Linked DNA regions of Caenorhabditis elegans. The protein of the gene in region 2 purifies or fractionates together with the protein of the main gene of each other region. This does not show direct contact. Each region holds a gene or a part of one and is shown on either strand. Other genes may lie near its edges.

Evidence for each region. The genes of interacting proteins can lie anywhere in the genome.
Region 1: the proteins of T03F7.7 (region 2) and Y52B11A.10 fractionate together in Caenorhabditis elegans (co-fractionation; one large-scale study listed by BioGRID). This does not show direct contact.

Annotation. Positions count from the first base shown.
Region 1 is NC_003279.8:11,037,450-11,042,076, forward strand, and holds the start of Y52B11A.10 (MI domain-containing protein), read left to right. Parts: upstream 1-1,606; 5' UTR 1,607-1,612; coding exon 1,613-1,720; intron 1,721-1,761; coding exon 1,762-1,944; intron 1,945-1,987; coding exon 1,988-2,113; intron 2,114-3,159; coding exon 3,160-3,316; intron 3,317-4,013; coding exon 4,014-4,195; intron 4,196-4,627. Other genes in the region: dxbp-1 (DNA/RNA-binding protein Kin17 WH-like domain-containing protein), read right to left, coding at 921-1,149, 1,294-1,370.
Region 2 is NC_003283.11:11,309,577-11,313,954, forward strand, and holds T03F7.7 (CRAL-TRIO domain-containing protein), read left to right. Parts: upstream 1-1,845; 5' UTR 1,846-1,945; coding exon 1,946-2,013; intron 2,014-2,282; coding exon 2,283-2,481; intron 2,482-2,530; coding exon 2,531-2,851; intron 2,852-2,906; coding exon 2,907-3,253; intron 3,254-3,483; coding exon 3,484-3,613; intron 3,614-3,662; coding exon 3,663-3,782; 3' UTR 3,783-3,869; downstream 3,870-4,378. Other genes in the region: cutl-18 (CUTiclin-Like), read right to left, coding at 3,881-4,147, 4,309-4,378.

The DNA of each region.
Region 1 (4,627 bases), on a different chromosome or scaffold from region 2:
TTTGGAGCTTTTCGGCTCAAATTATTGGAATATGTTGTTGTAGTCCTTAGAAGGCTATAAACTGCAGATTGGGTTGAATTTTTCCGTTTTTCAGACAAAAATTTAACAAATTTCAAAATTTTAGGCTAATTTCAATTTTCAAAAACTACGAAATTGACCGCAAATTATTTAAAAATAAAAATTTCATGGATTTATGAAAATTTTAACAAAAATTAAATTTTTTAAAGGTTTTTTTTCGGAAAAACCTTTCCAAATGTTCCCAATTTGGTTGAGGCTCACAGACTACAAACTACAAAATTTTGCGGGAAACTGAATTTTTTCAAATATTTTACGTTAAAAATTCAATTCTGAACCTTAAAATCAAAATTGTTCCAATTTTTAGCGAAAAAAATAAATTTTCATTTTGGGTGAGGGTCAGAGACCCCTATGAGCTCCATTACAAACTACAAAATTTCTAGCCTCTACCAAAGTTTTTTGAGATAAATTTTACATTTTTCAGTTTAAAACTGGATTTTTTTGTTCAATTGTTCTGAATTTTGAATTCAAAAATGCAGTTTTACACTGAAAGTTTCGAAAAAATGGCAAAAATCCTTTTTAAATCTTGATTGAGGCTCACAGACTACAAACTACAACATTTTCAGCCTCACCAAACATTTCTCACTTGAAAACTGGATTTTTTTGTCCAATTTAACTGAATTTTCAATTCGAAAATGCAGTTTTACACTAAAAGTTGAGCAAAAAATACGAAATTTGGCCAAAAATCGTGAAAATCCTTTTAAAAATGGGCAAACTACAAACTACAACATTTTTCAGCCTCAACCAAATTCAAAAACTTGTTTTTAATGGTTTTTTGCCGATTTTAATGCATTTTTCGGCGTTTTTCCGGCAATTTCTTCAAGTTTTCTTGAAATTTCTCTTACCTTATCTTTAATAAACGCATTATACACCTCATTGGCACGAACTCGCTTCGTTCCGTACGAAGTTCGCAGCAACTGCATGAAATTCTTCTCAAAATCATTGGAAAACTGTCGGAGATAGGAATTCGAGTTCTCGGCAAAGAGCAAAAGTTGCCGTTGATGTGCTTCGGAAGTTAAGTGGCATTTGAAGCCGTTCGCGTCTCGACACTGCTTTTGGCACATTTGGCAGAAGCTGGAAATAATAATAATCATTTTTATTAATTTTTAACTGTTTAATTGAATATTTCGTTAATTTTAACTCAATTTAACCAGCAAAAACCGACAAAAATCGCTTAAAATTAATTATTTTTAAATTTTTACTTAAAAAGTGCCATACAATTTCAATTTTTGTAATCCTTTCGATTTTGTTCGATTTGCCAAGTCTTTTGAACTTCCTTTTTCGTGTTTTCCCATTTTTAAATCTGAAAAAATTAGGAATTTTAGGTGAAAAAGCTTGAAAAAGCTTGCAAACCAAAAAACTAAAGAAATAAATTCGAAAAACACGCGCTGTGGATTTACGGTAAACAACGCGCACTAGCGGGATTTCGGAGTGTCGTTGCAAATATTTATTTTTTTTTTTTTTCGATTAATCTTTTTCAGCGAATTTCGATGAATTTTTAACGAAAAACTTTAATTTTTTACTATTTCAGGGTAAAATGAAGCTTCCACTATTCAAAAAAGATGGAATGTCGCGGAAGGAACAACGAAAATCCGCGAAACAGCTCAAGAAAATGCAGGCAAAGGCATTTTCCCAGAGAACTCCGGTATATTTTGCGATTTTTTGCTTCAAAAATTCAATTTTCAGATAGAACAAGTGATGAGAGAGACGATGGGAATGACGAAAGAGGATAAAAAGAAGAGAAAACGGAAAAGACAGCTGGAAGCGAAGAAAGAGCAGAGAAAATTGGAATATCTGCAGAATAAAAATCGAAATGACGGGGATTCCGATGACGAGGAGGATATGGAAGATTCTGAAGACGAAGAAGAGGTTTTAGCATGATTTTTGTATAGAAATAACTCGAAAATTCCAGAAAAAGCCCACAAATCGCAAGGGAATCGTCGAAGTGAGCGTGAATAAGGGAAAACGGAAGTATGGTGATGATTCTGAGGATAGTGATGAGGATTTGACCTATGAACAGTATATGGAAGAGGTTCAGGTAGGAGAAAATGCGAAAAAAACGGAGAAAAACTGAAAAAACGGCTATTTTTGGCAGATTTTATCGATTTTTCGTCTGAAAATCGTGGAAAATGTAGCTTAAAACATTTAAAATTGCCAAAAAATACGAAAAAATGACGAGAAATCAAAGAAATCCTATAAAAATCGACTAAATATTGGTTGAGGCTCAGACTACAAACTACAACAATTCCTGAGCCTCAACCAACGAGAAAATTTAATTTTTAATATTTTTTACCCGAATTTTCTCTAATTTTTTAAGGTTTTTAGACTTAAAATCAAAGTAAATGTCGTTTAGGAATGTTGAAATGACAAAAAAAATGCGAAAAATTGCAAAAATTCAAGAAAAAACACAAAAAAGCTGATGAAATTCTAGTTGAGGCGCAGAGACTACAAACTACAATATCGTCTGAGCCTCAACCAACGGGAAAAGTTAATTTTTAATAGTTTTTTCTCGAATTTACTCGAATTTTGAAAGTTTTTTTTTTAACTCAAAAGCAAAGTAAATGCCGTTTAGGCTTGTTAAAATGATAAAAGTTGCGAAAAAATAGCAAAAATTCCTGAAAAACACTAAAAACAGATGAAATTCTGGTTGAGGCTCAGACTACAAACTACAATAACTCCTGAGCCTCAACCAACGAGAAAATTTATTTTTTAACAGTTTTTTTTTTCTGAATTGTCTCTAATTTTTAAAGTTTTTTGGGTTAAAATCGGTGGAGAAGTAGTTTATGCACGTTAAAATGACAGAAATTTCGAATAAAATTGCAAAAAATCGAGAAATAACACTAAAAACCGACGAAATTCAGATTTAAGGCTCAGACTACAAACTACAATATCGTTTGGGCCTCAACCAACCGAAAAAAAACTGATTTTTTGGTTTTTTCCTCCAATTTTTTAGACTTTTTTTGCTAAAATATAAACATTTAAAATGTGAAAAATTCAATTTTTCCACAGATTTTTTACAAATTCCCACTAAAAATCCAATTTTTAATGCAAAAATTGTCGATTTTCATCTATTTTCACTTCCAGACAGCGACAAAAAAGCGGCGACAAGAAGCCGACGGAACTGAGGAAGATGACGCCGCAATTCGTAAATATGGAGTACTTTTAGGTGTAAATGAGCAGAAAAAGGAGCGAGATGGCAAGCTAAAAGTACCGAAATCCATGAAAAGTGATGGATTGGATTGTGAGTTTGTAGTTTGTAGTCTTTAAAAGCTAGGAATTTACCTGAAAACCTGGAATTTACATAAAAATTTCGAATTTTCACTCAGAAATTTGAATTTTTACTGAAAAATTCCAACAAAAAAAATGGTTGATGCTAAACAGTTTGTAGTTTGTAGTCTGTGAGCCTCAATCAAGATTTAAAAAGGATTTTGAAGGCTGAAGTCTGCTTTTTTTTGCAATTTTTAAACAAGTTTCGTATTTTAATGAAATTTTCAGCGAAAAACTGCAGTTTCGACTTCAAAAGTTTGGAAAAATGGTTAAAAACCTAATTTTTAACTGAGAAAATGTGGTTGAGGCTGAAAAATGTGTAGTTTGTAGTCTGTGAGCCTCAACCAGTTTTTGAAATTATTTTTTGATGTTTTTTCGCCGTTTTTGGGTCATTTTCGATAATTTTTCAATTAAAAATACAAGAAAGTTGGCCAAAATCTTCATTTTTATCTAAAATTAACAAAAAAAAACCTCAATTTTCATTCAAAAATTAGACAGAAAAATGTCAAAAAAAATTTAAGTGAGGCTAAATATTTATTATTTTTATTTTTAATTTTAATTTTTTTTTTTTTTTATAAAAAAAAAATACAAGAAAGTTGGCCAAAATCTTCATTTTTATATAAAATTTTAATAAAAACTTGAATTTTCACTCTAAAATTCAAAATTTTCAGTACTTCTCGACTTTTGCGATTCGGAACGGCGTAAGGAGCTAATGGAAGATGAACTTGACGATGATAATATGGAAGATGAAGAAGAATTTGAAGATGAAGAGGATGAAGCTGATGAATCTGGAAATGAGCTAGATCTTTCTGAAGGAGAAGAGCCTGTGGAATCGGAGGATGATGAGGATATGGTAAATATTACTGGAAATATCTTGAAATACTGAAAAAACTGAAAAAAAAATGATTAAAATACACGATTCTAGGCTGAAATTCGACATTTTTAACGTAAAAAATCGGAACTTTGTTTTGAAAAAAAACATTTTCGAAAATTTTGACCAATTTTCCAGTTTTTACTCAAAAAATACTCCAAAATTGCACAAAAACCGCGAAAAACCATTAAAAAATCATTTCAAAATTTGGTTGAGGCTCACAGACTACAAACTACAAAATTCCTAGCCTCAACCATATTTTTTGTGATAAAAAATGACTTTTTTCAGTGAAAAATTGGGTTTTATGTTCGATTTTTTATTGAATTTTCAAATCGAAATTGCAGTTTTTCGCTGAAAAATCCATTAAAAATACAAAATTTATTCAAAAATTGCAAAAAAAAAGCTGAAATCTGC
Region 2 (4,378 bases):
AGTGACTGATTGTGAAAGACAGATAATTACTAGGCCATTTAGAGAAATTTGCAAATCTGGAACAACTAGATTAAGAAAAAATTTTGTAGCTTGCCATAGATTTCATTCGGAGCATTAATTATGAGCTGAAATACTATCCTAGTGAGCGAATTTGTCCTAAATCAGTAATAAATTGAAATAGAACTGAAAAATATATTAAATCTATTTTAAATTGTAATGGATTCCAACAAAAATTACAGATCCTGAGACTTAACACTTAGTAACAAAACAATTAAAAATTTTCTTTTTTATTTCTCACTCCAAGTCATCAAAACTAAACATTTGGAGTCTTCTTCTTCCTCTTCTTCCAATATGCGGAATTCTTCTTCATTTTTGCTCAATTTTTATTCAAAAACGCCAGCATAAGTATGTGCTCATCCTTGAATAAATGAGGCAATTGAAGAAAGAAAAAAGAAAAAAAGTGAGTGGCGAATTCTGTTGGTGGTGGCACTGGGTGAAAGTGGTGAAAACCCCTTGAAGAGATGGAAAAGGGAGACGAAAATACGCCAATTTTTCATAAATGCTTATATTTTTGTGGTTGAGCAAGGGTGCGGACAAGAGAATACCCTGTGGAGCTTTGAATGAGATGTTTGGAAATGGTTTCAGATTTGTTCATACACGACATCACAATGAAGAAGAAAATATTGGGCTATAGAAGGACAAATTCTCTTGAGTAATGGATATCTTTAAATGAGATGGATGTGTGGTAATTTCCGGTACATTTTTTCAGATACAAACGATATAATTTGGACAGGGATGTTGTTAAAGACGTAGAGATATTATTGTAACAACTAGTACATGGAGATAATAAAATATCACGCAGAAAAAAATTACCAAAGCATGAAACGTCTACTTTAATCATCAACTAAAAATTTCCAGCAGCCGTATAACTGAATAAATGTTTTTTGATAAGCTACCTGAAAATACCGAACGGTTCATCCAATCTTATCCACTCTTATCTTCAAATGTATATTATGTGGATTAAATAATCCCGCGATTCATAAATACGAATTTATAATTGTTTTAAAAATGATTTTCCTCCTATTTTTTAATATTCCCCACTTGTGTAATACTTCAAATTCATTTTCCAAATTTTTGTACGTTCATCATTCTCTATTCCTTTACCCTTTTTCCACCTGATTCTTTTTTTCAATTAAACCTATCCCTTCCTCATCACAAGGTATTCAACAATCTGAAAAACAATCTGAAATTGTCTCCACCCATTGAATACAATTGTACGCTCATTCTCTTCAACTATTTCTTACAACAATTCATTCTTTACAAGCCGGGGCTTCAACTTTTATGTGTATGTGTGACTACCGTATTAAACGACACCTCTCTATTTCCCTTTGTTGACCATCTTGCTGCCATCTCTATTCCTGTTTACTTCTCTCTTACTAACCACCGACTATAGGAGACCGCGCACTACTAGTATAATCTAAAATTGTTCCTTTTTCGGTCTCACTTTTTTTCAACCTTTCTCTCTAGGTTCCATTCAACCTTGAGGTTTGGCATCTTCGCTTTTTTTCCAAAATTTTCTAAAATCACAAAACACGAAATTATTTTCTCTCGACCATCCTTCGCCGAATGTCTTGTATTTAACACGTCATATCACTACTGATCAAGTCCTCATTTTTTTCCATTGTGTTCGCCCCTTCTAGTGATAAAATGATAACATAACTATTATATGTATAATCACATAATCAATTGGTGATGACTGCTGATAACAGTTAAAACAGCACGACTTTCTTTTCCTGCATATTAATCTGAAAACCTGTCTCCATCAATCACTTTTTTTCATTTTTTAGGAGACCGCCTCCCACAGCCAGATTTATTTTTTAGACTGTCCCTTGCTATATACACGTTTTTTGTCGAAGAAATCACTCGTGAAACAACAAATTCAAAAATGATTGACGATATGATCACAGCGAAGAAATTCAGTGCAGACATTTTGGAAAAGGCTGAAAAATTAAAGTGAGTTTTTTTTTAATTTTTAGTTGACAATTTTCCGTTCCAGTGAATTTGACATTTAATTTGGGCAACGGCTACTAGTTTTTGACATTTTCAAATTGTTGACTTGCATTCCGATAAATCTATTGAGGATTTGAGAGTAATAAAAAGCAAAAAAAAAATTTCGGTTTTGGACGCCAATTTCCAACAACAACACCTGAAAACATTTAACCTGAAAACATTTTACAGCACATTTTTGTGAAAAACCATTTTTGAGAAAGTAATTTTTGCAGAGTTTCAATCCCATCCGTACCTGATAAAATCGATTCTCCATTCTTCTTTGCCAGATTTTTGAATGCAAATAATGGAGATGTGGAAAAGACACGCCAGAAAATTATACAGTTATTCGAACATCGTAAACTAATGGGATATGAAAAAATCAACGATCTCGATATTTTTACAACCGTAAATATTGGAAAGGATTGTTTTGAGGTGAGACTTCCCAACACTGGATAGAATTACACCTTTTGTTGTTTTTCAGAGATTCCATATTTCTCAACTTAACTATGAAGTCACATCAAAAAATCTTCATGTGTTTGTACAAAAAATGGAAGGAACTGATATCAAAGAAATTTTAAAAGTGATGCCATTGAGCTATGTTCTTCACTCATACTTTATGCTCCAAGAAAATTTTTCAAGAGCAATGGCACACACTGAAAGAAAGACAGGAAAAACATCTTCAGTCGTCTGTATTCTGGATTTGAAAGGATTAAATCTAATGGATTTCATGAATCCGTTGTCAGGACCTGCACAGTTGGCACGGCTCGTGGTGCAAGTTTGGGCAGAATATTTCAGCGAACACGTGAGTGTATAATTTCAGTTTTTACTTGAACAAAACGAGAAATTCAATATTTTAGTTGTGCAAGCTTCTTCTTATCAATCCACCTGGAATTATATCCGTCATGTGGCAAGTCACTAAACGACTCGTGGACCCTAATACAGTAGAAAAGTTAGCTTTCTTGAGCAACGTGGAAGATTTGAAAAAATATTTGGAGCCGGAGGCAATTCCAGTCGAATATGGAGGAACATATCGTGATGATACTGGATATGCAGATCCACCAGAAGGAGCATGTAAACAACCAAAGAGAATTACCAAAGAAGATTATAAACCACAAGAGTATATTTGGGTTAAAAACGGGATTCTCAAGGCACCGAAAGGAAAGAGTTACTCGATAAAAGCATTCCAGACATCAGAGTATATCATGTAAGTTATAAATTTAGAGGAAATCGAATTTTATTTGATGTTACTTACAATTAAATTTTTTTATGTTAGAGTATTTATTTATTAAAATGTTTTCATTTCATATAATTTTCATGAGAGAAAATTTCCAAAAATTGCCGATTCGCACAGAATCGTGAAAATTTTGTGCAAAAACTACAAAACCATTCACACCTTCTGAAACAATTCCGAGAAAATAATGTCCTTTTTCACAGAAAAACTACGACGGAAGGTAAACTGGTTTGGAATTACACAACCAGTGGAGACGTTGACTTCGAGATTGTTAAACGAGACGCTGGTAAAGAGATGGCTATCTGGCCGAAGATCACAGTTACAAGTCTTAAGGTTTGTTTCTTCCCTGTTTTGTTGAATTTGCACTAAAATGTATTTTCAGTTACCAGAGTTTGGCGAGAAACTTGTTGCACCGGGAGAGTATATTCTAAGGTTCAAAAATCCATCAAGTACGTGGTTCCCAGTGAAAGTCAATTGTGCTGCTGAAATTTTAAATGTGTAAATATGACAATTCATGTATTATTATCTTTATTATGAGAATGTTCTTACCGAACATAAAGACATTAAACAAATAAAAAATCAAAAAACCAAACACCCATATCAGATATTCTTTGTATCGAGGAAACGATTTCTGAGACAAATATAGATCACGAGTAGGAATTGAATTGAAATTATAATTACAGTTAAGGAAATTAGTGCAATCCAACGGTTCAATTGAAGGCAATAACCATCTAATTGGGTTGAGTCTACAATTGTTTGAACGAGAAGCTCGGCATGGACTTTTTCAGTATCTTCATTTCCAGTTAACGTTGTGTCCTCACTCTCATCAAAAGTTGTAAATCGGCGGTTACGTGATGGACAATTTGCCTGAAAATAGTATGAATAAACTCAGATTTTAGGAACAATGCCGTAGAGAGTTGATTAGAACTTTTGAACAAAAAACTAACAATATTGATAGTTGCGTTGTCCAACAAATTGTTGAAGATTATATTACCAAAATAATTTTTAATATTAACAAAAAATCTCACCTTTTTACACTTTTCACAGTACTTCACCTCACATTCAATCTTGACAGCCTCTCCCTGTTTAAACCGAAAC